Linked DNA regions of Alligator mississippiensis. The protein of the gene in region 2 purifies or fractionates together with the protein of the main gene of each other region. This does not show direct contact. Links are inferred from orthologs where the notes say so. Each region holds a gene or a part of one and is shown on either strand. Other genes may lie near its edges. The genes, in order: RANBP10, ARMC8, MRPL18 and HTRA2.

What was found.
Region 1: the proteins of ARMC8 (region 2) and RANBP10 purify together in Homo sapiens (affinity purification with mass spectrometry; 5 studies listed by BioGRID and IntAct, with this or other methods). This does not show direct contact. The link is inferred for Alligator mississippiensis from reciprocal best matches to the Homo sapiens genes ARMC8 and RANBP10.
Region 3: the proteins of ARMC8 (region 2) and MRPL18 purify together in Homo sapiens (affinity purification with mass spectrometry; 3 studies listed by BioGRID and IntAct, with this or other methods). This does not show direct contact. The link is inferred for Alligator mississippiensis from reciprocal best matches to the Homo sapiens genes ARMC8 and MRPL18.
Region 4: the proteins of ARMC8 (region 2) and HTRA2 purify together in Homo sapiens (affinity purification with mass spectrometry; 5 studies listed by BioGRID and IntAct, with this or other methods). This does not show direct contact. The link is inferred for Alligator mississippiensis from reciprocal best matches to the Homo sapiens genes ARMC8 and HTRA2.

What each region holds. Positions count from the first base shown.
Region 1 is NC_081833.1:34,362,334-34,370,244, reverse strand, and holds the start of RANBP10 (ran-binding protein 10), read right to left. Parts: upstream 3,007-7,911; 5' UTR 2,926-3,006; coding exon 2,721-2,925; intron 1,698-2,720; coding exon 1,586-1,697; intron 1-1,585. Other genes in the region: TSNAXIP1 (translin-associated factor X-interacting protein 1), read left to right, coding at 3,694-3,722. UniProt on the Homo sapiens protein: May act as an adapter protein to couple membrane receptors to intracellular signaling pathways.
Region 2 is NC_081830.1:29,556,490-29,563,740, reverse strand, and holds the start of ARMC8 (armadillo repeat-containing protein 8), read right to left. Parts: upstream 3,006-7,251; 5' UTR 2,968-3,005; coding exon 2,923-2,967; intron 1-2,922. UniProt on the Homo sapiens protein: Component of the CTLH E3 ubiquitin-protein ligase complex that selectively accepts ubiquitin from UBE2H and mediates ubiquitination and subsequent proteasomal degradation of the transcription factor HBP1.
Region 3 is NC_081824.1:137,784,066-137,791,858, forward strand, and holds the start of MRPL18 (large ribosomal subunit protein uL18m), read left to right. Parts: upstream 1-4,783; 5' UTR 4,784-4,878; coding exon 4,879-5,104; intron 5,105-5,110; exon of another isoform or gene 5,111-5,172; coding exon of another isoform or gene 5,173-5,248; intron 5,249-5,441; coding exon 5,442-5,625; intron 5,626-5,641; exon of another isoform or gene 5,642-6,717; intron 6,718-6,820; exon of another isoform or gene 6,821-7,793. Other genes in the region: TCP1 (T-complex protein 1 subunit alpha), read right to left, coding at 1,573-1,658, 4,617-4,689. UniProt on the Homo sapiens protein: Together with thiosulfate sulfurtransferase (TST), acts as a mitochondrial import factor for the cytosolic 5S rRNA.
Region 4 is NC_081825.1:370,955-378,051, forward strand, and holds the start of HTRA2 (serine protease HTRA2, mitochondrial), read right to left. Parts: upstream 3,018-7,097; 5' UTR 2,972-3,017; coding exon 2,619-2,971; intron 613-2,618; coding exon 408-612; intron 307-407; coding exon 112-306; intron 1-111. Other genes in the region: lipid droplet-regulating VLDL assembly factor AUP1, read left to right, coding at 3,220-3,269, 4,544-4,681, 4,938-5,088, 5,509-5,696, 5,778-5,850.

The DNA.
Region 1 (7,911 bases), on a different chromosome or scaffold from region 2:
CACTCTTAGACTTTCGTCCAGAGCATTACCTTATGTAGGGATCACAATCAAGTAGAAGGCTGGATAGAAGCCAAACTAAGCAGTCAACAACACCACTCAGTGAGCTGCCTATTTGTGGATACTGCAAAGTGACATGGTTCATATTCTGCTTCTAGCACCAGACAGGATATGCTGCCTTTGTTGTGCTTCTAGCTGCTCTGCACGAGAATGGATTAGAGCAGAGGCTTTCAACCTTTTTTGGTCGGGGTACCCCCAGCAGCCAGGCAAGAAGCAGGGAGTCCCCCAGCAGCCAGTTGACAAGCTAGGGGGAAGGGTCCCCTGTGCAGCGACAAAACCGAAGTGCCAGTGGCTCCTCAAATGCACTGCCACATACCCCCTGGGACCTTCCAAAGTACCCCCAGGGATACGTGTACCCCTAGATGAAAACCCCTGGATTAGAGAATAAATGCAGTTAGCTGGTAGTATCCTACAGTATATCAAAAGTTACATCTATTGGAAGAACTCAATTTTTTGTATTTTGTGTCCAACACTAGGATTTCCCAAGCCTGCACAACTGCTGCCTGTCATAAGCCAGCACCTGTTCAACTAATGATAGAAAACACCTAGATCCTGCATACATTTACAAAGGCCTCTTTTTCTCTATTTTAAATAATCCTTTCCCTGGCTGTTCATAAGCAGTTTCCAGACAAGATGAGAGAAGCTAATGTTCCAGAGCTCAATTACTGCTACTTGTTGTCCATCCAGAAAGCATGACAGTCAAAACATAATGTTCACAGCTCCTCCAAATCTAAAAGCACCTTCTTACACTTCATTTCAAAACATCAAGGCTGCCTCAAGCCAGTCTGAAAAGCAGGAACCAAATCAAAACAGTATAGTCACTCAACCAATTCAAAGATGTCCTAACTTTTCAATTTGGTCTTTCAGAAGACTGACTGGGCTGATGAACAGAGCTAGTGATCTAACTCTTGAGTTGTAGCTTACACAGTAGCTACTCCCTGTTAGTTAATGGCTCCTCTTGATCCCTCAATTCACTAACCCTAACCCTAGCCCTGTCCCCATAACCATTTAAAAAAAAAGCCTCCACACATTTTGATGAAAAAAATCATGAAAAGAAATTCTTAGGCTTATAGACTGTCTGTTTTCAGACCTTAGAAATAGAGAATTTTTCCATGCTGTGTGAAGTTACTTGGACTGGTTTCCTATATGTTCCCTAACAAGGACATCTAATATTCTTCTCTCAGGTCCCTCCTCTCCTCCCATTTCCAGCTGTCTGAATACCAAGCAGACATCACTGAAACAAAGTAAACACCGGTGAAATTGAAATTGTCTTAAAGGATTAGTACTTCCTGAGTAGTACTTATTGCCCACATAGAACTATGTAGGGAGCAGCTACATAAGGGCACCTCATTCCAATACATATTACTGGTGTGCCACCTGTTGACTATGCAGATATAACCCACTAACACATACCTGTCTGTTACAAACATCAGCTGTCAAATAAACTTCTAACCCATTCAGCAAACAAGAGTGAGCACAGAAGATGCATGTAACCACCAGTAAAATCAAATTGGAGCAGTGTACTTACCCATCTCTACCTTTACTGACAATCTTCACTTCAAAGTAATAAATGCCACAAGCTGCAGGTATGGGATGTGTGGCCCTGACTGAAGCAGCATCTTTGTGATTTTTTCCATGACCTAAGTAACAATGGAAAAGTGAATATTTAAGGGCTATGAGGTCTCAAGGCCTTGTGTTCTGAAATTACACTGTCTGAACAGAGGAAAGGACTTGCAACAGCAAAAGTAATTCTGCAAGCAGGGAAATAAAAGGGATTCCTCAGTCACTTAAAATATACGATCCTGCACTGCCACCATGTACATGGCCTACAGTACGTGCTTCTGTAGTTTTTCCTTTGTCTCCACTCTTAAGGTTCTGAGACAGAAGCACAAGGCTCCCTCCAACGCAGAGGCCTCAGCGCACAAACAGCCAACGAGCAAATGGCTCAAGGTACAAGCGGCAGCAGTTTACTGGCTAACAAGAAGAAGGTCGCTGTGGATACTGGAGAAAGCAGCCCTCAGCATAATGAGGAAGGAACAACTAAAGCTCCCAGTGGGGCCCTGGAGCTGGGAACCTGACAATTTCACTAGTTCAAGTGCTGAAGGGGCCCCACCTCAGTGCAAACAACCCCCGGCCCCTGCAAGCTTGTATTTAGGAGCAGCAGCAGACGAGATATCAGCCCTTTGGGGAACGAAGACAGGGCCAGGCAGCATGGGGGAGCAGCGGGAGCCCAAGCTAATGACACTGCAAAGTGTTATATAAGGCTCCACACAGGAGGGGGGCGGGGAGCTGGGCTCGGAGCCGTCCGAGCTCTCCCTAGGGCAGGGGAGCTCCCGGGCCGGGTGCTCGGCCCTCGCGCAGCCGGCTGCAAGGCCTGAGCCGAGAGGCCCCCCCGTCCCGAAACTGTCTCCTCCCCCGGGGCGGAGGAGCATCGCCGAGCTCCCTCCGCCGCGCCCCGCATCCGGGGGCCGTCCAGCCCCTGCGGGCAGGGAGGCCGAGGCTGCCGGGCCCCGGCGCGGCCCCCTCTAGCGGCGGGGCGAAGGCTGCCGCTCGACCGACCCAGCCCGGCGCCCGGATCCGGCCCGACGCCGCGCCCCAGCGGCCCCCGCGGCTGTCGCGGCCGAGAACGGCGACAGCAGCGACCCCGGCCGAGCCCCCGGCACCTTTGTAGTGGACGCGCAGGTTGCCCTGCGAGAGACCGATGTAGTTGTACTTGTCCTTGGGGCTCCAGGACCGCGGCAGCGGCGTCTCGTCCTGGTTCACGGCCGGGTAGAGGCGGCGGAGGCGCTGGCTCAGCTCCTGCTCCTCGGGCGGGCACGGCAGCGCCGCGTCCCCCCCGTGCAAGCTTCCTGCGCCCGGATCCGCCATCTTGGATTCGCTATTGTGTCACCGGGCGGGGAGCGAGGCCCGGCTCCGGCCGCCAGCCAATGGGCCGCGACTCCGGCCACAATGGGGCCGCAGTGCCTGCCGGAAAACAGAGTCCCGGGCCGTCCCGCACGCGCCGCTCTCCGCACGCGCGGACTGCAGCTCCCGATAGGCTCCGCGCCACAAGCCCCGCCCCATCCCTGCGCCGCGCAGCATGCTGGGAAAAGGAGTTCGCTCTCGGGGCGGCTCGCATCGGCCAGGGGGGCCCTGCACTACGAGTCCCAGAATGCCCCGTGAGCTAGTCACTGACTGTTCCGCACAGCCCGGCTCGGGGCTCCCCAGCTCGGGCGCGGGGCGATGGGTCGCCGGTGTCCTGCACCGCGGGCTGCCCCACCCCCGCCGCCAGGACCGCCCTGGGTGCGCTCGCCCCTCTCCTGCAGGACGCGGCTCCCCACTCCGCTCCCCTGCGGGGCTGCGGCGGAGGCAGGGGCCACGCCGGTGCGGGGCAGGGGGCCGCGGCTGAGGCACTCGTCATCCCCGGGCACGGCGGCACTGCCGGGGGCGCCAGACCCCGGGACCCCCTCGGGGAATGGGTTCAGCCAGGAGACCTGCCCCCTGCGCCGCCCAGGGCTGTGCCGTTGCTTCCGCTGGGAAGCTCGTTCCTCAGGCGCGGCGCGGGCAGCTGCGCGGGGGCCTGCGGGGGGCGGGGCGGGGCGGGGCCTGTTTCTAGGGAGACCGAGTGTAAACAGCCCGCGCCGCTGCTGAGCCAGCATGGCCTGGCCCCGGGGGCCGTCGCGCGGGTAGGAGCCGGCGGGCGCGGGCGGGGGCGGCGGCGGCTCCCTACGGCTGCGGCTCCCTACGGCTGCGGCGCTCGGCCAGGAGCCCTCGCGTTGCTGACGTCAGCACCTGCCGAAACCGGGGGGGGGCGGTCTGACGGCGGCGGGGCCGCACGTGGGCACGGCCGGGCCGGGCGGGAAACGGGGACACGCGGGCCCGGGCCCACTGCAGCGCTGCGCTCCCCGCTCTCGGGCCGCGGGTGGTGGCTCAGGGCGAGGTGCGTCGGCAGCCGATGGACAAGTTTTAACAACTGTTAATATTTTGAGAGCGTTATTATCCAGATGATTCACAGTTTGTCCAAACCTGTTGGCTATGAGAGAGACATTATCCAATTGATGTCCCTGAATTATCAAATCCCAAAGGTATAAACCCCAGTAGGTTTAGGATTCTTCTTATCAAGATCCTCTCCCTTTTCTCAGGCCATAACATAAGAGCTAGTAGGATACTATAGCAATTTATCTGTTTTTGGCATTGGCTGTTGCCTCCAGGTTCTGCATACTTTCGTCAGCCTAACCTTGTTGGTGCTGGGACACATCCAGTAACAAAAGGTAAAGTTGCACAGTATCTTTCCTCATTCAGCCATAGGTCACAACCTGGGTAAGCTTCAGCTGCATTCTGGTATTTAAAGGATAAACCCTCATGTTTCATACAAATGGCATCTTTCAACTTGACATCTTGAAGCAGGGCCACTTAGTATAAAAGTTGGCAGTTTTATTTTGCTGTGTTGCCCCATGAACAGGGATGGGGGTGGTGTGGGTGCTAAAGTGCATGGCTGATAGTCCAAAGGTTGCAAGTTTGAGGCTATAGTAGAAGTGCTTATGGTGCAATCCTGTCATATTCCAATGAATCTACAAATTTTGCTACCGCACCAAGGATGGGTGCAGCAAAAGAAGCTGGTCCAAAGAAAGGATCTGAGAGTTGCAACACTCAATGTGGGGAGTATGACAGGAAGAGGTAGAGAAGTGGCGTTCTTGTTGGAAAGGAAGAAAGTACATATTGTATGTGTGCAGGAAACAGAGAGATTGGTGGAGGATTTATAGCAGTGGAGACAGAAGAAATGGAGTCAAGATGATCCTGTGCAAAGAACTGAAGGACAAAATGTTGGAAGTTGAAAGGAAGAACAACAGGATTGTGAGATTGAAACTGGACAATGGAGGCCAATTGATGAGCGTGACGAGCATGTATGTCCCACAAATAGGGAATCCAGTAGAGAAGGAGAACTGGGAAAAGGTGGATGAGATGACGCAACAGGTTCCAGACAGTGAAATAGGGGCAGGGGGTAGACCTCAATGGATAAGTTGGGCAAAGTAGAAATTGCTACATGGGGGACATATATTCAGAGACCTCAATGCAGAGGGGGAAAGGATAGTAGATTTTGCAGTATCTTACTGTCTTGCAATTTCAAATACATTCCTCCAAAAATGAGAAGAACATTTGATCGTGTACAAGAGTGGACTTAGAGAAACTCAAGTGGATTATTTGCTAGTGAGGAAATGGGGTTGGAAAGAGGTGAAAGACTGTAAGGTGATCCCAGGATGGTAGTCATGGACATGAAGGTGAAAGCTGTAAGACATAATTTTCTCAACTCCTTGATATTTAGTAAGTGCTGGAGGTTGCAGCAGGAAAAGGAAACTAAGAGAGGCCTTCAGAACAGGAGTGTTGGAAGAAGTAGGTTGAAGAAATAGAAAACCCTGAAAGTTAGTGGCAACAGGTGGTGGATAAGATCAAGAAAAAAATCTGAGGAGCGCCATCTGGAAAGATGCCTATCAGGAAGGAAACATAGTGGTGGAATGAGGAAGTCCAGAAAGAGGTACAGGAGAAAAAGGAGAAGTGTAAGAAATGGAAAGATACAGGGGACCCTCTGGACTTTGAAGTATACAAAGTAGAGAGGAAGAGTGCAAAGAGGACTGTTGTTAAGGCCAAAAACACTGCAACGGATGATATGTATAAAAGGCTATAAACAAAACAGGGACAGAAGGAAGTGTACAGGAATGCTAAGAGAAGAGAAATTGATGAGAGATGTAATGTGAGAACGATCAAGGACAAGTCTGGGAGACTGGTGGCGAACGAAGAAGAGATTAAGGACAGGTAGAAGAACTATTTTGAAGATCTGATGAACAAAGAGAACCCAAGAAGTTTGCAAGCAAATGCCACAGAAAACCAAGGCATGGTGACTGACATCAGCAGAATGGAGGTGAAAAGAGCACTGAACAAAATGAAGAATGGTAAAGCAACAGGACCTGATGATATACCAGTGGAAGTTTAGAAAGTCTTGGGGGAAGAAGGAATCAATATATTGTGTAAGCTGTTTAAAGAGATATTTGCAATGGAGAAGATGCCAAATGAATGGAGAGGGAGTGTGTTGGTGGCGATATTCAAGCAGAAAAGTAATGTCCAAGACTGTGGCAACTGTCAGGGAGTCAAATTGATGTCTCACGCTTTGAAAGCATGGGAAAGAGTGGTGGAGAATCAGCTAAGGACTGAGATAGTCATTGGAGAAGGCCAGTACAGATTCATGCTGGGGAGAAGTATCATGAATGTGGTTTTTGCAATAAAACAGATGATGGAAAAATACAGAAAAGGTGATAAAGATATCCATTTCATTTGTATTGATATGGAGAAAGCCTACAATCATGTACCCAAGGAGGAAATATGGGAGTGTCTGAGAGTTAAGGAGGTGCCAGAGAAATATGCCAGAACTGTCAAGGACATGTATTGGAAATGTACATTGAAAGTGAGGAGCAGTTCAAGAGAGAGAGAGGGAGTTTTGAGGTGAAGGTGGGCATACACTAAGGGTCAGCTTTGAGCCTGTTCCTGTTTGCAGTCACGATGGATATGTTTACTGAACAAGTAAGAAGGAGACCACCCTGGAACATGATGGTTGCAGATGATGTGGTCATTTGTAACGAGAGTCTAGAGGAAGTGTAAACTGGATTGGACCAATGGAGAGAAGTGCTAGAGGGAAGAGCAATGAAGATTAGTCTATCCAAAACGGACTATATACACTGTGATTTCTCTGAGGCACTTGATGCTGGAAATTTGATAATCAATGAAAAACATGTTAAAAAGGCTGACAAATTCAATAGGCCTGTGTGAAGTGTTAACTATTCAATTCGGATTCGGCCAATTCAGAGGGACAGTGATTTGATTTGGTGATTCAAGTCTCTGTTCTGATTTGATTCGGCCGAATTGGATTCGGAGATTCAGCCATAGACTATAATTGGGAATCACTAAAATACCTATAATTTTGTCATTTTTTTGCCAATTTGGATTAACACAGCAGGGATGGTAGACCCTTATGAGGGCATGAAGCCTGCTGAGTCCCAAGGAGATAGGTGCAGATGTTTCTGTGAAAGTGCTGCTCAACCTGTTGAAAGCAAAACTCATATCGCTTGTGTGTATTAAGGGGTGTAAATTGTAGCCGTGTTGGTCTAAGGACATAGGCAGACAAGGCTCTTTGGGTCAATCTGATATCTTTTATTAGACCAACTGAATAGTTGGAGAAATATTTCTTAGCAAGCTTTCAGGTTTAAAAACCCTTCATCAGGCTGAGGAAGCATCTGCAGTTGGTGTGAATGGAATGAATAGTAAAGAAGCCTAGAGGCTGGGCTGCAGGCAAGAAAGCCAGTCAGTGAAAATGTAAATTGAGGTGTCAGGGGGTGAAAGACAGGATGGGGGCGCAGGGATGTAGCAGGTAAAAGTGGAGAGGTACCTGGGGAGTCAGATGTCAGGCAAGTTGTAGTGTGTCAAAATTCTAATGTCTATATTGAGTCCATGAGTTTTTATATCCAGTAGATTTATGAAGTGAGGTGTTTAGGCTTGTCTGTGAAAAGTAGTTTGGAAATTCAAACAAGCACTGAACCTTGCTAACCTCATTACCAGAACCAACCTTCCTACAGCCCAAAACAAACCAAATGGATCCAGACCATACCATGACAAGAAATGCAAAACCTGCCAACGTATCTCCAGTACCCCCACAATTACTACACCCCACAACAAAAACATCACCATTCCTGGATCTTACAGCTGCACCTCCAGAAATGTTATCTCTCTCATCCAGTGCACCAAATGCCCCGATGGAAAATATGTAGGAGAGACCAAACAACAATTGTACACCAGAATGAATGTACACTGGACATTATTATAAAGACA
Region 2 (7,251 bases):
ACATACATGCCTACATTCATAAAAAGCATTTCTTGTATCTTAGCAAAGCCTTCTCCAATACTTTTTCTGATAAATTAATACGCTACACTAAAAGTTGCTTGATTTTCAAAAGTACCAGGCATCTGCAGGTCTCCCTGACCTATTGGGATTTGTTTGTATTCAGCACTCCTGAAAAAAAAAGGCCACATATTAAAGGATTTCCTAAAGCCATACGTAAGCAGCTAGCTCAGGGCATCAGATTTGGAAAATTTAGCCTGCACCCTTATAAAAGATGTTAAGGTCTGTCAACTGAGCCTTTTCTTCCTTTATTAAGCTTTTACCTTCTTCCTTGATGAATTTCCTTGAAAGAATGAAGGTGATTTGTGGAAGCTCTGCCTTGTTTTTGGAATGGCAAGTGACCTTGGACTAAACCTTCACCTCTTTATCCAGCTGGATTTCTGGTGTGGTACTGCCCTCCTCCAGACCAGTGTGGCATCAAGGGGCAGAAGATGAACCACCTGGAGCATCTAGATCTACATTTCCTTCAAGAATGGCTTCTGCTTATTACGTCACTTTGGTTATCTAGCCCAAGGGAGCAGGATAGTCTCAGCACAGCCCAGGTGAGGCAGGGCATGTATGGTGAGGCAGGACCCAGATAGATTTTAGGTCCAGACCTTCATTAAGCTTCCAAAGCTAGAATCTGCTGCTTTCTAGCCTGCTGACCAGCTCTAAAGTTCAGGTAAAGCAGGAGTGTCAGGACACTGGCAGATTTCTGCAGCATGCGATGCACCCCAGCTGGTATCAAGCATCCTTGGGTTCTGATGGACATGGGGATTGGCAGCAGAAAGGTGAGCAAGGGCTGATACATTCCTTGCTACTTCTTGTGTCATCACTGCTGCAGTCCTAACTCCTCTGCCAGTGGCCTCATCATCACCCCTTTGCCCATGCCAGAACTGTAGCTGTTGCTGCTATGTCACAGGGCAAGTACAGTGGCTGCAGTTTCAGCTCCAGCACAGGCCAGGCAGCAGAAACCAGAGCTGAGCCCCATGCCAGATCAGCTATCTCCCTGTACCTAAAGCCACAGCCAAAGCTGCTATCACTGCATACCCCAGGCTGGACATAGCGTACAAGGCAAATTTTATACCCATCAAATACAATGTCTTCTTACCTAGTGAGAAAAAGCAAACCAAAACAGACTAAGATTATTTATAATAAAAGTGGCAACTGGCCTCTAGACCATTTCATGCCAAGTGGGCAGGACATTACCTAAAAGCTGTTTCATAAGAGTTAAGACACAGTTACTGCAAGATACCATTTGAGGCTGGCAAGCTAGGATTTACGAACATGGGACACAACTGCAGTCAGTAAACAAACGTGTCCCAGAGGCAAAGAATGAAAGCATCCCTTTCAATATCCACTTAAAAGCAATATACCCCACCAAAAGATCAAAGGGCAACTGCAGTGGATGTGCCTCCTCCCTGCACTACAAAGCACAGCAACTAGGCCACCTGAGAAGACCCAGAAGACTTACAAGAGCAAAGGGATCAGGCTTCTATTGCCAAGCTGATTTCCACTTCCTGGCAATGAACTGGCAAGAGTGCTCTACAATCCCTGTACAGCAGTTTTTACAAACAAGACAAGAGGTTGGCAAGATGTTTTCAGTGAACAGTAAAAATTTGCCAGAAAAACAGAGCTTTGAAATAACCCAAACTACTTGTGAAATCCCACTGAATCCACTTATTTCAGTGGCAACATGGAAGATTTTTTCTAATGTCAAAACATTTTCAGAAGAACGGTTTGCTTTGAAAGGCATTTTGTTATATGTGAAGTGACCTATGATTTAAAAGGGGCACAAAGCAGATAAAGTGCCTGCAAATGAAACAGAACATGTGTTTTGCTTATGCCAAAACAAAGTTCTGCTTCAATTTGAGAACACTCCTCTTCTTCAACCACCGAACCGAGTAGTCTTTTATTTGCCCAGCTCTACCTAGCAAAAATACAGGCCTCCAGGAAGCGCAGACCCAACTCCTCCTCAAGGATCAGCATAAATGCAGGTAGAACAAGGCAAGAGGAGCTTCTTCTGAAAGAGAAAGTAATACTACAGCTCTCACTTCAAAGGAGAGAAGAAATCCAAAATTAAACATGATGTAGACAAGAGAATGGGAAAGACACCAGGGTAACATCCAAATGCCTCTCAGCCCTTTAACTATCTAATGCAAAAATTGACAAATCTGTGGCTCAAGGATCAGACTCTTAAATCACCTAAGATCCCCTAAGATCAGTGACCCATGGTAGAGATAGTCCTTGAATCATGGGATGGCCAATGATGAGGCAGAAGTGGTATCAGGACACAAACACTACTTTGGCTCTTACATTTAACATTGAGACACACTATCCACTAAACCAGGAGTGGCCAACTTGGGGCATAGCTGCCTCAAGGGGCACAAGACACTTCTGCATGTGGTCCACCAGATTCAGAACAGGGGAAAGCACAGCAGCAGGTGGGGTGGCAAGTGTAAAGCTGAGGGGCAGATGGGGTGGGGAGCACAGGGCTGGGAGCAGACGCTGCGGGGAGGGAGCACATTGCAGAGCAGCCAGTAAGTAAAGCAGGCAGGCAGGCAGTTCAGCAGCAGGCAGGGGGCAAGTGGAGAGCAGAGCAGCAGGTGGGGCGGGAACAGAGCAGCAAATGGGGCACCAGGCAGGGCGGCGGGCGGAGCGCAGAGCGGCGAGGGCAGGGCGGGGAGCGGAGCGCAGAACGACCGATGTGGCGGGCCGGGAGCGGCAGACGCTGTCAGCCCAGCCCACCCCGGCCCGGGCGGCGGCGCTAGTCCCGGTTCCCGCCCCAGGGGCCGCTCCGCAGCGCGCCGCCCGCCCCGCCCCGCCCCGCCCCGCTCCGTTCCGTTCCGTTCCAGTCCCGCTCCCGCCCCGGCCCGGCGGCCTCACCGAGAGGACGCTCATGCGGAGCGGCGCCTCCAGCACACACGCCATCTTGGAAGCGCGGCGGCGGCGCCTCCCGTCAGCCCCGTGCTGCCGCCGCCGGGCAGGGCCGCATCGCTCGCGGGGGAGGGGCGGGCCCAGCGCCGGGCCAAGCCGAGCGGCCTGCGCGAATCGGCCGGCACCAAACGCCAGCTGCCTTCCACCGGCCCGGCCCAGTGCGCAGGCGCCGCCACGGGCCCTTTGACTCGCCGAGCGGCGCAGGAGAGAGCTCCTGCGCATGTGCGGGCTGCCCTCGCACCGAGGAAGGGCTGTAGGTCAGATCTGCGCGTGCGCAAGCTGCCTTGGAGCCGGGGAGGGGAAGGGAAGGGGCAGAGTTAGACTCAACTGGCGGTCGCGTTTCGAGGCGCATGCGTAGTACGTTCATTCATAAAACACCCCAGGGCGGGAAAGGTGTAACGAATCTGCTGGGTCGAGGCACCGTCGTGTGTGGAATCTGCTGACGCCCCTAGCCGTGCCAAGGCATCAGGGACTCTGGCACACCTTACAATGAGAGTTGGGTAGGACCCAGACCTAGAGTTGTTACCCCTGTTCAAGCACTCGCTTTGTAGCCGTCTTGCAGCTCTTTTCATAAGTGGATGGCCATGTGGTGGGTGTGCCCAGTCCAAGTTTGATGTGCCGTTCACCGGTGAATTGTGTGATAAATGTAGCATGTGACACAGGCCTGGTGCACAGCTCTACCTCTCTGACCCGGGTTGTGAATACAGCCCCCCTGTCCCAGGCCCCAACCTGGTACCAAACATGGGAGCAGGGCCCCCTGCTCCAGGATGGGGCTGAGAAGAAACATGGTTTGTTCTCTCTACCTTCAAATCAACAAGAAACAGCTCCCTCATGGCCCAGCAGCTTCAAAGTGCTGGAGCAAATTTAGGCAACAAAAATGTTTGCTTGGAAATGGTCAAATGAGTGGAAGCAGCAACTTATGGCCAAGGGATGTTAAAGCATGAAGGAATGAGACCTGGGATCCTGGCCTCACTGGTCAGAGATTTTGGGGATGACTTCAGTGGCACTTAAGATTTCATCCCAGAAATGATGGGCTGAGTGGAGCCTTGCTGACAGCAAAGAACAAGGAAGAGGCAGCAAGTATTTAGGGAACAAAAAAGGTGAAGCTAGAAAGGAACATCCAAGACTGGCCAACCTAGATCAGCTGCAGGGAGGAGGAAGTAACCTAGAAAGAGATCTTAAGTAAAAGCTTTGCAACCCTGCTGGTACCCCAGAAAGATCAGGCTGTTTCTTCTTGAATGATATGAAAGTCTACATCAATTAGGGACAGAATCATTACACTGGACAGAAAACTTCCTGGGACATTTTCCTTAGTTGTTAGACCATATCATTCATTTCAGCACATTTGGGCTGTCCAGTCTTCCAGCTACTAGCTGAGGCAATTCATCCCAATCATCTCCCATTACTTTTTGATAGCATCCCATCAACTTTGCCTTATTCCTCACTTCTTCAAATGTTGGTGTCCACTTTGATGCCTCTTTGGAACTAGTTTGTTTGACATACACAAAGCATGCCTACCCCCCCTTTCCAAGTATTTTCCCAATAGTGAAAGTGAGAAGTTTCCATCCAGTTCTCTTAGATTTAATCATTGTTCACAAGTTTTGTTGAGGATATTCCAGTTATCTTTTAGATAAAACATTGAGAAAACTTCCATTTTTTTGGTCTTGATGACTCAGGTTTCATTACCCTATTTAGCTATAAATCAAATATATAGTTGCATCACTTCCTCCTTAATCTGGAGGCTGATATGTTTCTTGATCAGTGTCTGCTCATAACTTTGCACAAACCTGCTAATTGTTTCACTAGCTTCAAGTGCTTTCTCCCAGTTGTCACAGTTACATTGACTAACAGTGGTACAATGATCATTATTTTTTTTCTTCTCTAGGTTCACGGTCAGACCAAGTGGATTCAATTGTCTTCACTAGCATCTCTTTACATGACTTTTGTTGTGTTGCTCATCAAAATAGCCACAAATTCTAGGTCCACCTACCTTGCTTCATCTAACCCTTAACTCGTAATGCCTAATGCTATATTCATCCTTTGGAACTTGTTTGTCCAGCTAAACAATCACTAACAGGTAAGATCAGGAATGTTTCCTACCCACTGACTTTCAGTTTCTGTAACTAATGCAAATCCCCAACACAGAAATAATGCATGCCCAGCCCCTCATGCAACCCCCTTTCCCCAAGAGGAAAAGAAAAGAACAGACTGGTGCAACCTGGTTAAAAGGCCTTAAATAAAAGGTGTTGAGATTATCTACAATAATATCCCTGATCAGAGGAACAAGGGACAGATGACTCCACTCAGCAACTGACAAGTTGCAGACCGTGACCAATGAAAACAGGCTCTGCAGGAGTCTGGATAAGTGACCATCTGATAAGTTCATTATGCATCTAAAGGGCTTGCTGTGTTGAGGTACATTTTACATTATTATTTTATTTGAATAGTGTAGGCACTTCAATATCACAAGCACCTTTTCCTCCAAAAATCAGCCCCCCAAAATAGATTTTGCTGGTTTTTCTTTGTTGGAATAGAAGCAAGAATAGACAGCACAGCAAGATGTCTGCCAGGTTTCTCTCTCTGCTACCTTTAGGGTGGGAGGGTGAAGAGTCCACCCTTCAGTCAGAACTAATATTAACCTTCTCATAGCCACAATCATTGCAGTCAGGATCCTCTGCAGTCAGCATTCAGCCATTACTAGAACAATTTTCTTTCATTCCGCTTTCCCCAAACAAGGCATATACCTTACTTTGGGCATGTGGCATGCTAGAAAATATGATCATTCTGTTTTATGGGAGCTGTTCTATGGTTACTAGGTAATGCTGTCATCTCCCCTGAGAGAACAGAACTGATCCTGTTCAACATAAAATCCCAATATGCTGAGATGGTTGTAGTGACTGCCAGGAGTATTATCCAAAAGGACTAAGTCAGGAGTGAGAGAATGCAGAAGTCCAACCTCAGACCCATGAAATTTGCAGATGGTACTAAACTGGGGTGGGGATTGAGGATGGTCATAAATATAGAGGAAGACCAGACTGTATACAGGAGGATTTAGATTATCTTGTAAGTAGAAGTTTAATCATATGAAAGGCCAAGTCCTGCACTTAGGGACTAGTAAGAACTTTGGCTACCATTAAAAATACCATAGGAGTTGGAAAAAAAAATACTAACTTTTGTTGTAATCTAAAAGAAACAGCAATAATCTAAAAATGCATGAGGCATTCTGGTACCACTACATTATTGTCCACAGAAGAACTGTTATAAATTTAAGGCAATTCCAAACAGAGGATCGGAAGTGCCTAGCGCTAGTTCCTCACCTGACAATAAGGACAATGATGAGAGGAACAAGAAACAAACTCATCCTTTCTGTTTAAATCCAGGCAGTTATATAACCATACCAGCTGTGCAAGCAGTGCACCCTAAGATGCACCGACTGTTCAAGGGTCCACAGCAGCTGGCAGGAAGCATGAGCGTTCTGCATGCCCTTTCTGGTTGCTTCTGTAAGCTGGCAGAGAGAAGCAGATCTGCCCAAGGGAGCTGTGAGCATGAGCACCCGAGCTGTGCCAGCAAACCTGTGTGGTATAGACCAGAAAGAGATGCATCTTAGTATGGTGGATGCCACTGGAACAAGGCAATAGGGACTTAAAGAGGGTAGTAGTGCACTGGTCTCAGCAGCCCTTGGATGGGAGGCAGGCTGAGAACCCCTGCAAACCACATGTGTGAAGGTCCAGAGGTGGAAAAAAGACTTTGAATCATTTGGTTTATGTGGCAAGACTAATCTAAAAATTGAGAACACATAGAAGGGGAATGTGCTGTGCCAGCCCACTAACCTTTTCGGTCAAGTGCAAGAGTAGGTTCACTTCTGGTCACGTAGATCAAGGCTATCCAAACTTCTAAGTGCCTAGGGGCTGCACCAGGGCAAGCCACTTAGTCCTGGGGAATGTACTGCATGGACATCCCCTTCCCCCACACCACTGCACTCCACGCTCACATAGGCACCCCTCCACCCCCCGCTGCTGCTGCACAACATGCCTCTAGGCTTATCCTATACTATGCTGCACTACCCCATCCCTGAGGCAGAGGCACAAGTGAAAGCTGGAGGAGGGAGGGGGACTCCAGAGCCCCCAGATGTTGTTGCAGCCAGTGATAGAGGAACAGTGGCCAGAGGAGCTCAGGGAATACAACTAAACCCCTTGCAAGCCACATGTGGCCCATAGGCTGCCAGCTGGACAGTCCTGAAGTAGCTAAATGCTGAGCATTCACAACTGGCTGACTTCC
Region 3 (7,793 bases), on a different chromosome or scaffold from region 2:
CACAACCCAAACTAAAAAGGATACAGTGGTTTATAGACACAAACTGAATGCCCAGAATCTAGTTTAAATAAATGTTACATAAATTCCGCTGACAAAGCTATACTGTCTCAGCTGGTAGGCAAAGCTAAGCCAGAAGGCCTCTTTGTCGACACAGCTCTCCTAGCAAAACTCTGTTTCTCTTGGCAAATACACTCTTAAGGAAGCCGGTGGCATAACCCTGGCAGCAGAGAAACTCCTTCTACTGGTGCAGGTTGCTTAGAGGATTCTGCCACAGTAGCTATAGCAACGACAGCCCCAGAATGTAAACTAGGACTGCCCAAATGGCAACTGTGATGGGTTAATTAGCAACCCCTGGGCTCCACTCCCCCATCACTCCCTTGGCTGCTGATGCCAGGGTCTCTGAACTTCCCACTGTCTGGCCCTGGGGGGCAGGGTGACCCACATGCCCCTGCAATGCAACCCAGGGGGGAGAGCTTACACAACACCCCCCTTTCCTGCACAGCTGGGGCAGGAGGAACTACAGCATATAGCCCAAGGGAGGTATAGCCCCTGGGTATACAATTAATAAACCCACACTCTTAGCAATACTAAACAAATAATGTAATTTATTTGTTATTCAAAGTTTTTTTGCAAAATGTTCTGCCATTTCATATAGGAAAAAGATATTTGCAATCTTTTCCTTCAGACTCTGGCACTTTTTTCTTTATCCCATAAGCATAGCCACTTAATCTGTAAATCGAGGAAGTGGTAGTCAAATGGGAAGCACACAAAACCTGACCTTTCCTTCGGAATCTGAGGTAGGCAGAGCCCACGTTTTGATTTGTTAAAGGATGCGTCTGATTCACATCATTGATTAAAAGTTAGCTGTCACTTCTAATCAAAGCTATTATTTAAAAAGTAGCAAACTGCCTGTCATGGATGACAGGGGGAAGGAAGGGGAGGACATGGGCGGGGATGGAGTGCTGCCACCCAGTACCCCAGTGCCACTGCTCCACCTCCAGCCCTGTGGGCCCCCCCCCCCACTCCTCTCTGTCCGTGAGGAGGGGGAGGGGCGTGGCCACCCTTTGGATGTGGTGGTGAGACGGGAGCGGGGGTGAGGCCGGAGGGGGGGGGGGGGGGGCGAGGCCAGCGCTGCGCCACCAGCACCCCACACCGCCACTGCCTTCAAGAAGCAGGGCCAGGGGGTGGGGGGCAGAAGCTAGGCCAGCACTGCTGGCCTCGCCCCTCTGGCTCCGGCCCCTCAGTCCCTGCTATCATGGTGTCAGGGCTGCACTCTGCCCTGCCCTGTGTGTTTGTCTGTGCAGAGCACTGATTGGCTGCCATTACAACCAATCAAAGTGCAAATAAACAGTTATGGACAGACAGACTAAGACTTTTATTATATTAGAGTAAAAAATGAATGCTCTTCCATAGTCATACTGAAGAGGTCAAGTTGCTAAATGCATAAAGACCATGAACAACATTTTACACAGGAACAGACTGAACAGGTCCCTACTAGATAGCATGAATTTGAGAGAAAGCAAGCAGAGACCTTTTCATTACAGTTTAAGACAGAGACGTATGTCTACTTACGCCAATATCATCCACTAACATTTTATCCAAACCAACTGGCCCAAGGGAACTCTTCACAATGTTAGCAATGGTAGCTGCAGCTGTAACTGTAAAAAACAGAACAGCAAGTAATTAGGTAACTCTTCACAAATAGCCAATTCTAAAGCCCACATTCCTGTAAGTATAGTCCCCGTTTTAAAAGTCTGGAATATAAATAATTTTTGTCTACTTTTGGCACATGTGCTTTTTCAGGGCCTATTTGACTGGGGAAATGAAAATGACTGGGGTGACAATATAAGGATCCACGACAAATCCATTTGCACAATTTGAATGGACACCACGAAGACACCTCGTTTGGCTTCAGGACTAAGCGTTGTTTTTGCCTAATACAGTTAATCAACCCACAACTGTAAATGTACTAAATGCATGTAATTTACTTATTATTCAAAGTCTTATTGTATAATGTTCTGCTCTCTCATATAGGAAAGAGATATTAACTATCTTTTCCTTCAGACTCTGGCACTTTTTTTTCTATCCCATAAGCATAGCCACTTAATCTGTAAATCGAGGAAGTGGCAGTCAAATGGGAAGTGTTCAAATCTGATCTTTCCTTTAGAATTCTAAAAGTACTAAACCCCTTCCTATTTTTTTGTAATCAGTGCATACAAAGAGCTGTTCTTGCTACTGGTATTTACCTGACGGTACCAAATTTCTTATTAATGTGAATTCACTTTATTTAATAGTGAATGTGGCAGACAGGTTACCTTCAGGGAGAGATCCAGCTCAGGGGCGGGCAATTATTTTGGGTGGAGGGCCGCTTACCCAGTTTTGGCAAGCTGTCCAGGGCCACATGGGTAGCTCCACCCCTTGGCAGGTGCCCCGCCCCTTTATAGGTGCCCTGCCCCCTGATCACCATCTTGGGACCAATGTCCCAATATCTTGGGACCAATGTTTCAGGGTCATGCAGGGGTCTGTGGAGCCAGGCTGGCCTGCACGAGCAGGGAGAGAAGGGAGCCCTGCTCTGGGCCCTGCTGGTGCTGGCCCCAGGACACCAATGTGGGCCCTGTGTTCCCACTGGCTCCCATGCCCACTCACTCTCAGTGCCCCCTGAGCCCTACGGTACAAGCAGGGGGCAGCATGCAACCCCGACCCCGCGCTTGTCGGCAGGAAATGAGCTGGTGCTGAGCACAGGGAAAAGCAGCCCCTCCCCCACCCTGTGGCCCACGCTCCCTGCTGCAGCTGCTCACAGCCTGCTGGGCAGCCCAGAGGCAGTGGAGGTAGCCTCAATGCAACCTACTGTGGTGTGAGCTCTGGGCGGGCAGCAGCAGCAAACACTGCCCAGCATGGCAAGCAGGGGAGCTGCAGCTGCTGCCACCGTGGCAAAGCCCCAACGGACAAGCCCAGAGCCAGCATGGGGCCTGGGCTGGCAGCGGGGGCGGGTTACAAGCTGGTACTGAGCATGGGGAAAAGCAGCCCCTCCCCTGCCCCGTGTCTGCTCAGGACAGCCCTGCGCAAGCTGCAAGTGGCTGCAGCAGGGAGCACAGGCCATGGGGCAGGGCCACTCTCCCCCCCCCCCACTCAGCACCAGCTCATGCCCCCCACCCACCTTTTCTTACCCAAGCTTCCTGTGCTGGAGGAGCCACCTGGTCCCAGGCCAGAAGCCCCCGCTGAGGCCGGGCAGGCCCTGCTGTTGCAGGAGCCTGCCAGGGCTTCCTCTGGGTCCTACTGTTCCTGGCTCCTGTCATTTTTGACAGGAACCAAGGACAGATAAATATTAATTTTCTAAATTTTTAGGGGCCCTGCGGGCTGGGTAGATGGCCTAGCGGGCCGGATCTGGCACATGGGCCGTATTTTGCCCACCCCGATCTAGGGGCGCTACAAGAACACTAGTGGAAACTGAGTCATCAAGAAATAAATCTTGAATGACTTTTCTCCATCTCCTGTTTCTAATCTCAGTTTTTACTTCAAGAAGAAATCCCATTTCAGTGCATTTGTGCACAGCTCTGGTAACAACTTGTTTCAAATATGGAATTCAAGGAAAAGTTTTCCCCCATTCAACATGGGGGCGGGGAAAAAAGCCCTTGTCTTGGGTTCAAGTAGGAGGCAAGGGTGAGGGGTAGGTGGCTGCTCCGACTTCAACCCAGGTGTGGGGTCAGAATGCTTCCCCCAGCAGCCCCTGCGCCCCAGCCATTTATCTTCTGCTGCGGCTCCAGGCTCAATCTGGCCTGGAGCACGTGGGGGCTCCAGCCTCCACCCAGCCAGGCAGTGGCCATTGTGGCAGGGGTTCAAGACAGGGCTAGAGCTGCTCCCTGGGTAGCCAGAAAGGCTGGCAGAGGGATGGGTGGGACCAGGGGGTGCAGGTACACGTGGGAGGGGGAACAAATAAGGGGGAGGGGGAACATGGAGGCACCGGGGGTAGATGTTAGGCCTTTTGAGCCCCCTGTGACCTGGTCGCAGTGGGAGAGGGTGGTGAATTCAACACGCCCCCTGATAATTCAATTCTATTTATGGAAGAGAAATAACTGCCCATCCCGAACAGCTCCATGCACGGGCCTGGCCAAAGCCTGCCCCACTAGCATCACTAGCTGTACGGTAATTATTGTATTTACTTCAAGTTCAACCCCTGCAAAATTAACAATAGTAAAAGCGCTCAAAACCTACAATTGTTTTTGAGGCAGCTCATACACGCAGCATATGCAAACCCCAATTCACACTCAGGGAGCCTCAATTGCCTTTCGGGCCGGCCGTGGGTGCTTCCTTATCACTCCTTGCCTCAAAATGAAGAAACGCTTCCACTTGGATGACCCAGGTCTTGCTCAGGAGCGACTCCCAATGAGCAATATCGAGTAAATGAGACAACCACCTCCTCCTTGCATGTTGACTTGTATATTGCCCAGTGTACAATATTTTTTTCAGCAAATACAGGAATTCTGAGTTTCTAATAAGATAATTTCATATTTAAGACCTGACAAACGCTGCCCCCACCCCGGAAGCGAGGGGACCCCGGAGCCGCGCGGCCCCTCCCCCCCGGCAGGCGGCGGTTGGCTCCGCCCCGCAGCCGTTACCGTTCTGGCTGCGGACTGCATCGCCGGAGCTGCGCTCGCCTAGCACGGCCAGGGGCCCCTCCAGCGCCGCCATGGTCCCGCCCGCACCACGCCGGCAGCCGCGAGATGAAGCGTAGGGCACGCCGGGAACTGTGAAGGAGAAGAGGAGAGGAAGCAGCCAATGGCTGTCTGGAAGGGCAGTAACGTCAAACGGCTGTTGCCCCAATCCGGGAGCTCCTCATAACGCCCGGCGAGCGCTGCCTGGGCTGCAGGCGCTGATTGGATGCTGAAGCCGGCGGGGAGACGCGAGTGCGGGCGTCACGGGGATTCGAAGGACATGGGCGGGGCTCAGGGCGAGTGCAGCGCTGGGCTTCCAGGACGTTCTAGAAGGCGGCAGCCGATTGGCCCCGCCCCCTGGCTCGAGAGCGAGGCTTCCCGGAAGGCAACCCGGCTACTGGGGCGGAAGTTCACGTCCTTTCTGTTTCCGGGGCAGCGGATCATTCCCCTTAGTAAGAGTCTAGGCTCAGCCCAGGAGGCAGCTTGGTGCGGGCGGCCGCATTTTGCCGCTGTCGCCGCTATGGCGCTGCGGAGCCGTGTCCGGTCGCTGTTGTTGAGTGTCGCTGCCGCCGCCAGGCTCCGTGGGGCCAGCGAAGGTGCCGGGGATGGGGCTTCCGCGTAGGGGGTTCCGTTGGGCAGGGAACTAGTCTTACGATCGCTTGAGTTCTGTTTAGACTTTACCCACGACGCGCAGAGTCGCTGACATCTTACAGGCGAGGCCATTGGCTGAAGTAGTTCTAATATTTCTAACTTATTTTTCCTTGTCTCTTCTTTTTGCTTCCCCGCAAGGTCTTCGTTTCACATCTGCTAAAGCCAGCTTCGAAGTTGCCGGTGCGGAGGCGGACACAAGTGAAAACGAGGTTGTCGCCCCGGATTTCGCCAACCGGAACCCTCGGAACCTGGAGCAGTTGGCGCTCGCCAGGAAGGAGCGCGGCTGGGAAACCACTTGGCCCAGCAGAGAGTTTTGGCGTAGGTGAGTTGTGGACTTGTTTGGCAATAAGTGAGTTTAAGAACCGGAGCATTTTTTTAAATCTGAGATCTCCAGTGGTACTCAGGAAGTGCTCGTAGTAAAACTGTTGGACCAGAGGCCCCCTCAAACTTAGGCTTTGTGTATGCAGGTAATTAGGGTCAACATAGCCTAGGCTGGTGATTCCTAACTTGGGTGCCTTGAGAGCCTTTGAAGGGTGCTGCGGGGTGCCAAGCCATGTTAGCACTGCTAGGTGTGTGGACGTGATTTGCAAGACTGAAACAGATTTCAGATAAGCCCTAAGGTTAAAAAAACATTCTGCCCCATTGTGGTCTTTCTGAGTTCTTTGCAACAGAAAAACTATTCTGTCTTGTTTTTGTAATTTAAAAAGCCTAGAGAGCTCAGAACTGGCATTTTCCAAGGGATGCCTTGAGCCTAATGAGCGGGTTGAGAATCGCTGTCCTAAGCTCCGTGGCTAGCCACAGTCCACCCAGCCCCAAACATTCTGCTGAACTTCAGGATATGAGGAAAGGCCTGCCTTGCAGTGTACCTCTCCCTGCAGTATGTTTGGAGATTGCCCAGATGCTGTAGGCCACAAGCACAGGAGTCCCTCCAGTGGCTGTTTTCAAGCTGCTTCTTCCTAACTTTCAGCCTTTCTGTCCTCAAATCTTGTCTATAATTGGAGACAAGATGTGCAGGAGAAACAAGTACCATATTTTCTTGCACATAGCATGCCTCAAAATAAAATATGTACCTTGTTGAAAAGTAGAAGGAAGGAAAAATAGCTTTCCTTGAAATAGTAAGTTACTGAGTAGCACAGGGGCAGGCAATTATTTTGGGCAGAGGGACGCTTACTGAGTTTCAGCAAGCCATCAAGGGCTGCATGACAGGCAGTCCAGGGCAGGTTAATATTAAATTTTCTAAATTTTTTAGGGGCTCCATGGGCCGGATAGAATGGCCTGGCGGGCCGCATTTTGCCCACCCCTGGAGTAGCAGCTTCTGCAGCACGAGCCTCGGCTAGGGAGAAAGTGTCCACAGCCAGCAGCTATGGAGCCCCGCTGTGCTGTCCGATATGCAGTGTTATTTCACTTTCCTCAGGTAGAGGCATTATTTCCCTGTTTATGACAGACTCTAATTCCCAGCAGCTGAATCTTGGAAAAGGGGTGTATGTTACATGCAAGAAAAATATGGTAATTTGCAGACTGATATCTACAAGGGGATCTGCTTGAAGGACAGGAAACATACTTTGGATGGCTTTGGTGTAGGCTGCAAGGTAAGATACAGATGAGGAAGGGTGGCACATGTGGCTCAAGTTGGTTGAGACTGACCCTAAGTGACCTCTCATCATGGATTCTGTGACTTTTCCTGTTTCAGATATGCAGAGGCATAGTCTTGTTAAAGATACTATGGGGTACTTTCCATCTGCTTTAGGGTTACTAACAGACAACTTGCATAGCAAGAGATGTGAATTTTCTCTTGTCTGTGATTGCCTTGTAACAATGCCCAGCTTGAGACACCTGGTTCGTGTCTGAAGATATAGAACATCTGTGCTCTGGAGCGGATTTCTCTTTAGGGTGCTTAGTGATGAATTACCCAATCTGGTAACACCCTAATCTCACTGTCTCTCACCCCATCCTCATCAATAAATTAAGCGACTGCGGCATTGATGCCTGCACAGCATGCTTAAACTCCAGGAGAAAGCACAAAAGAAAACTTCAGTATCCACAGACATATAAGCTCCTTCTCCTGTTGGCCTGGGGTAGATTCAGATCAGCAACCTAGACCAGAAAGGTTCATGCCTGTGTTCCTTGTCCTCACAGCCAGTCTGCTATGAATGAATTAATGACATTTTTTTTAATGTAGGGCTCAGCCCTGCAAGGCACTGAACACCACCAGCTTCCATTATGTTCAAAAGAAGTTAAACAATGTTCAGCACTTTTAAGAATCAGACTTTTTTCTACTACATATGAACATGGCCATACTAGACTGAAAACTGAAAAGAACATGGACAAGTTAGCCCATTTTGGTTTATATGTTTGCATTCATTTTTTGTGTCATAATCTGCATGTACAGACAAACAGAAACTTTATTTATATAAAAAATGCAATTATAATTGCATTTTAATTTACCCTAGCTCAAAGTATGCACTTCTCCCGTGAATTTATCTCCACTGT
Region 4 (7,097 bases), on a different chromosome or scaffold from region 2:
CTCCCCAGGTTGCCTCAATAAGGGTGTTACAGTCTGACTGGGCACTGGGAGGCAGTCAGTCAGACCCCCGCCCGCAGGCCCCCCCAACCCACCCACCCACACTCCTCTTACGTTAATGGCAGCATCGGTCTGGATGTACTCCATGTTGTAACCAGGCAGCCCCAGCTCCTTGCTGCCCCGCTGTGCTGAGCTGACGATGCCGGAGGTGATTGTGTTCTGTAGGGAGAAGGGGCTGCCCATGGCCACGACAAACTCCCCCTGGCGCACGTCTGAGGAGTGGCCCAGGGGCAGGGTGGGCAGAGGGCTCTGGAGAGAAAGGGGGGGTCAGTGGGGCCAAGGACCAAGACACGTCGAGGTAAAGGCTGTGCGCCCAGGGGGCATCCTTGGCCCGAGCCTCCTGGACTCACCGTGGGCTCGATCTTGATGGTGGCAATGTCAGCCATGGGGTCCACATCCTGGACTACGGCATTGTAGAGCTCCCCGCTGGCCAGCTTCACTCGCACCCGCCGCCGATTGGCCACCACGTGGGCATTGGTTACGATTAGGCCGTCTGGGGACACCACGAAGCCAGACCCATTGGAGATGGGCACCTCCCGCCCCGAGTAAGGATGCCTGCAAGGCCAGAGGGCAGTGACCCCTGAGACAGGACCGGGCTGGACGCTGAGGGGGCCCCACCTGCGCTGCAATGGCACGTGCCTCCCACCCAACATCAGCCCCCCCAGGGACCCACACACAGCCACCCCATTGCCAGGGGCTGCCCAGGAGCAAGTGCCTGACCCCAGGAGGGGGGCATAGAGCAGAGGGCAGGGATTACTACGGGAATCCAAAAGCAGCCAGGCTGGCATGGCCTCCAGAGATCGCACCCTGTCCAGCTCCAGGAAGGATCTGCCCCACGAGTGTCTGCCTAACACAGTGATTCTTAGGCTTTTTAACAAGGGTTATATAAGTTAAGGACTGCCCAGGAGGAAGGGGCAGCAGCCATGAGGGATACTCAGGAACAAAGAAGAGCGGTACCATCTGAAACGTGCTCTCTCTCTCAAAACTCATGATCAAGGAACCGACTGCCTCCAGAGGGAATCTCCAACAGCCTCTGGACGATATTCGTGAGTAAGCTAACCGAGATCCAACTAGATATATAGCTTGCAGTAACTCAGATACAAGATCAAAGGCTACCCAGCCACAGGAGTTTGCTCTATGGGATTTCTCTGATATTGCTCTACCCTGTACCCTATTCTAACCCTGCCCTCTGTAACCAATACAGTTCTCCTTTGGGAGGGACTGGTGTGGGAGACTTATTGAAGGGTGGGTTTAATTATGCCCAGGAGGCCCCTTGGGTCTGCGGACTAAGGGAGACCATCCTTTTTGGCCCCCGACTTGGGGAAGTGCCCCAAGTTCTTGTATTGGGTCAAGTACCCGTAGGACTATTAGGCCTGTGTTTCCCCGAGGACACAGGGCCCAGACAGTCCCTTCTCGGGGTGGTAGCAGCACACGTTACCCCTGGACTCAGCAGTGGGGCTTGAAAGGGGGTCTGCCAGGGCTTAGGTGCCCCTGGAGAGACACGTGGAGCCTGGAAGGTGGACGGGCGTGGGGAGGTGGGAGGATCAACGCAGGAGCTCCCCCGCCTGGCCCGCCACACAGCCAGCCCCCGGAAACTCCCCTTCCCCTCAGTTTGGAGGCTCTGGATCCTGACTGCAATCTCTGCTCTGTCTCAGGAGTCTGCAAGCTGCAGTGTCCTTGTGTTGTGCAGCGCCCCATGGCCCTTGTGATCACAGACAACGAGGGTGGGAAGGGACCTCAGGTCACATCTAGTCCAACCCCTGCTCCAAGCAGGACCAGCCCCAACTGCATCATCCCAGACAAGGCTTTGTCTAATCAGGTCTTGAAACCCTCCAAGGGATGGAGACTGCACCGCCTCTCTGGGGAGCCTGCTCCAGTGCTTCACCACCCTCCTCGTGAGAGTTTTTCCTCATAGCCAACCTCAACTTCCCTTGCTGCAGCTTAAGCCCACTGCTCCTTGTCCTGTATCTGCCCCCACTGAGCACAGCCCAGCTCCATCCTCTTTGCAGCCCCCCTGCAGGGAGCTGAAGGCTGCTATTCAATCCCCCTCGGTCTTCTCTTCTGCAGACTCAATCAGCCCACTTCCCTCGGCCTCTCCTCACCAGTCCTGTCCCCCAGCCCCCAACCACTTTCACTGCTCTCCACTGGCCTCTCTCCAGTGTGTCCCCATTCCTTCTGCAGTGGGGCCACAGCTGGATGCAGGACTCCAGATGTGGCCTCCCCCGTGCTGAATAGAGGGAAGAATCACTGCCTCCATCCGCCGGCCCCGCTCCTACCGACGCACTCGGGATGCCGGTCGCCTTCCTGGCACGAGGGCACACTGCCGGCTCCTGTCCAGCGTCTTGTCCCCCATCGCCCCTGGTCCTTTTGTGCAGAGCTGCCCCCGGCTTCCCGGCCCAGCTAACATCCTCAACTCGGCTGCAAGCAGGGCGCGCCCCGCGAACCCTGCACCGCACCGCACCGGAGCGGCCCCGACGCAGGGAGCAGGGGCCGCGCGGCCGGCCGGCCGGGGGCGAGGTCAGACAGCGCCGGCCCCGGGAGCCCCGCCCGCCCCGCGGCACCTGCCCAGGATCTCCACGTAGACGAGCGCGGGCGCCGTCTTCTCCACCACGTCGGCGATGAAGTTGAAAGCGGCGCGGGCGCGGGCGGAGGTGGCGGCGGGGGGCGGCGCGGGCACGGCCGCGGACACGCGGGGCAGCAGCGCCCCGTCCCGGCCCCGGTCCCGGCCCCAGAGCAGCAGCAGCAGCGCCGCCCCCGCCGCGCCCGCGCCCAGCGCCGCCCGCAGCCGCCCGGGGCCGGGGCCGGGGTCGGGGTCGGGGCCGGGGTCCGGCGCAGCCAACAGCCCCCGCAGTCTCCCCCGCGACCCCGCCGCCCGCAGCAGCCGCAACACCGCCGCCCGCGCCGCCGCCACCATGCTCTGCACCAGCTGCCCTGCGCTTCCGGCGCGCGGCCTACGGGTCGCGGGAGGGCGCGGGCGGGAGCAGCCAATCGCGCACCGGGCCCGGGCCGCCGGGCATGCCGGGAGCCGCAGTCCCGGGAGGGGCCGCGCCGCGCCGCGGGGCAGGCTGGGTGTCGGGAGGGAGCCTCGTGGCTTCCCAGCCTGCCCCGCGCGGGGAAGATGGCGCCGGGCCGCGGGCCTCGCTAAGGCGGCTCGGGGCGGCCATGGAGCCTCCCGCCGCGCCGGGCCCCGAGCGGCTCTTCGACTCGCACCGGTGCGCGGCGGCCGGGGGAGGCGAGGGGGCGGGTGCGGGTGCGGGTGCCCGCAGGGGGTGCAGCCCGGGGCGGGGGGGCGGGTGCCCCCAGGGGAGGCAGGTGCCCGTGAGAGGGGCGGGTGCGCACAGAGGGGGTGTAGTCCGGGGCGGAGGGTGTGGTGTCTGTGAGGGGGGTGCAGCCTGGGGCGGGGGGGGTGGGAGCCCCTGAGGGGGGTGCGGGTGCCCACAGGGGATGCAGGTGCCCGTGCGGGGGGTGCAGCCCGGGGCAGGGGGTGTGGGTGCTCGTGCATGGGGTGCGGGTGCCCGTGGTGGGGGTGCAGCCCAGGGCAGGGGGCGTGGGTGCTCGTGCAGGGGGTGTGGGTGCCCGTGTGGGGGGTGCAGGTGCCCGTGCAGGGGGTGTGGGTGCCCGTGTGGGGGGTGCAGGTGCCCGTGTGGGGGGTGCGGGTGCCCGTGTGGGGGGGTGCAGCCCGTGTGGGGGGTGCGGGTGCCCATGTGGGGGGTGCAGCCCGGGGCAGGGGGTGCGGGTGCCCGTGCATGGGGTGCGGGTGCCCGTGTGGGGGGTGCAGCCCGGGGCGGGGGGTGCGGGTGCCCGTGTGGGGGGTGCAGCCCGGGGCAGGGGGTGCGGGTGCCCGTGCATGGGGTGCGGGTGCCCGTGTGGGGGGTGTGGGTGCCCATGTGGGGGGTGCAGCCCGGGGCGGGGGATGCGGGTGCCCATGTGGGGGGTGCAGCCCGGGGCAGGGGGTGCGGGTGCCCGTGCATGGGGTGCGGGTGCCCGTGTGGGGGGTGCAGCCCGGGGCGGGGGGTGCGGGTGCCCGTGTGGGGGGTGCAGCCCGGGGCAGGGGGTGCGGGTGCCCGTGCATGGGGTGCGGGTGCCCGTGTGGGGGGTGTGGGTGCCCATGTGGGGGGTGCAGCCCGGGGCGGGGGATGCGGGTGCCCATGTGGGGGGTGCAGCCCGGGGCGGGGGGTGTGGGTGCCCGTGTGGGGGGTGCGGGTGCCCGTGCATGGGGTGCGGGTGCCCGTGTGGGGGGTGCGGGTGCCCGTGGTGGGGGTGCAGCCCGGGGCGGGGGATGCGGGTGCCCGTGGTGGGGGTGCAGCCCGGGGCGGGGGATGCGGGTGCCCGTGTGGGGGGTGCAGCCCGGGGCAGGGGGTGTGCGTGCCCGGGGCAGGGGGTGCAGCCCGGGGCAGGGGGTGTGGGTGCCCGTGTGGGGGGTGCAGCCCGGGGCAGGGGATGCGGGTGCCCGTGCGCCGACATTGACGCTGGGCGGCCGTGGCAGGTTCCCGAGCGACGGGCTGCTGCTGCTGGCGCTGCTGCTGTACGCGCCTGTGGGGCTGTGCCTGCTCGTGCTGCGCCTCTTCGTCGGCGTCCACGTCTTCCTGGTCAGCTGCGCCCTGCCCGACAGCCTGCTGCGCCGGTGGGTGCCTGCGGCGGGATGGGGGCTCTGCCCGGCAGCCCTGGTTCAGAGCTGCCGCTCCTCGTCCGTGCGGCCCATCCTGGCATTTGTCCCTGCCCCTCGGCTCCCAGCGCGTCCCCCCTCCCCGCTCGTTCCAGTGCTTCCCAGCCTGTCCCAGGCCCCTGCTTGGGTTTGCCAGGGATCGGCACCTGGTGGGTCTAGAGGGATGTGCAAAGCCCCGCGTGGCCCTCCCAACGCTCCCACGTTACCGTTCCAGGTTCGTCGTGCGGGTGATGTGCTCCATGCTGGGCCTCGTGGTGCGGCAGAGCGACCCCCAGCTCCGTGGTGCTGGCGTCAGGGTGTATATCGCCAACCACGTGACCCACTTCGACCACAACGTTATCAATCTGCTGACCTCGTGCAACACTGTGAGTGGGGCAGGCGGCAGGGCTGCCCTCTCCCAGGGGTGGTGCTGAGGGGCCTGCTTCAGGATTGGGCCCTTGTGCTGTCCCGCCAGCCCAGAGAGTCTCCTGGGCTCTTGAGAGCAGGGAGGAGCAGAGCTCAGCTCAGTTAAGCTGACGGCCTTTGTGTGTCGCGCTCTGTAAGTAGGTTGGGGCAGAAGCAGGGCTGGGCACAGGGCTTCCCCCAGCACGGGCAGGTGGCAGCTGCCCAGGAAGCAGTGAGGGGCCGTAGTCCTCGAGTCATTTCAGTTTACAACTGAATCGGCACCTCTGATGGGGCTTCCGACAACTCGAGCAGCAGACGTCTCTGCTCGGGGGCAGCACTTGGTGCTGAGTCCTGAGGAGCGGGACAGCACCTCTAACTTGCCCCTGAATCTTCTCTTGCAGCCTGCCCTCAACAGCGCCCCCGGCTTCATCTGCTGGTCTCGGGGGTTCATGGAGCTGGGGGCGGCAGGGAGCCGGGCAGAGCTGGTGGATTCCCTGAAAGCGTATTCAGCCCATGGAGAAAACCCGCCGCTGCTGCTGTTCCCAGAAGAAGCAGCCACCAATGGCCGAGTCGGCCTGCTCCGCTTCAGGTAGCAGTGGTGGGGGCCTGCCTTGGGGTGGGGCCCCGTCTGTGCTAGCGTGTCCCTAATTATGGAACGCTTCCTTTTCAGCTCCTGGCCGTTCTCAATCTTGGATGCGATTCAGCCAGTCACTCTGCAAGTTCAGAGGCCCTTAATCACTGTGGTGAGTCCTGGGTGTGGAAGAGCCTGTCTGGGCTAGGGGTGTTGCCTGGCATTCGTTCCGCTGTTCCTCTGAGCCCTGTGGCTTGTGCTGCGTCCTGAGGTTCTTTTCAATTGCCTCGATCTCTGCCTTCCTAGCAGCTGCATTGTAGCAAATGTTTGATCATTAATGATCTGTCACCACGGAAACCGAACTGAAAAACACCGATGCTGTGTTTTGAGCTTCTGTTAGTCACAGCAGCAGTATCAATAAGCTCTCAATTGATCTGGCTGTCTGTCCGCTGCGCTTCTTGGTCACTGTTACAATAGTATGCAGGTGCCTCAGATTTCAGTGTTCATCCTTGATGCCCCTGGTGAGGAAGGGGAGAGGCTGAGTTGCCAGGGGTCCTGCGCACAGTTCGGGGCAGAGCAGGGGCTTGAGCATAGGCCTTTTGGCTCATAGCAAGGTTAGTATTGTGACCACCCCCCAGTTGCATGGGTTGCAGTGGAAAAGCTTTTGAGTTTTCCTCAATGAGCTCTCAAGGAACTTTTTTGTTGATGGGGCAGGGAGGCTGTGGAATCACCTTTTAAGGTAGGTTTCCAAGAAGAGGCTGGCCGGGATGTTCAGCGGTTGCACGTGTGCAGCGGGCTGGACCAGGCAACCCCTGAGGTCCCTTCCTGCCCTGTGAATCTACAGTCAGGCGATTTCATTAGACCACTCTTCTCCAATCCAGCTCAGACAGATGTGGCAGGAGCCAATGGAAGAGAAAATTGCTCTGTGCTGCCCTAACACGTAGGGTGGTTGTGGAGCTGTTACGTGGATCAGTGGGGACACCTGGTTTGGGGCAAGCAAGGAGCTGCTTGACTGTGGGTGTTTGCTCAGGCTAAAGATCAGGGAGCCAGAGGAGGCTTGGTTTGGCAGGCAAAGTTGTCCTCTCAGCATCAGGGGCAGAGGAGGCAGCAAGCAAGGAACCTGCGTGGAACAGCTGAGGTACATTAGAGCCCTGAGATGCCCAAGACTTGGCTGGTCTGACGCCCATTAGACCTGCAACTGGGAGTCTGAAATAAAGACTACAAAGGGATGGACACAAGAGGTCTGTCTGCACCTCAAGCTCTCTAGCTGTTGCTGAAGAGCATGGTCCTGTCCCCCTGCGTGTGTCGGATCTGGGAGCGAGGCAGCGAGGACACTCCGGGGCCTGTTGTTGCTGTTCTTGAGTATGCAGGGGCTGAATCCTGAAAGTGCTGCAGCCCCCTGCTCCTCCCCAGGCGCCT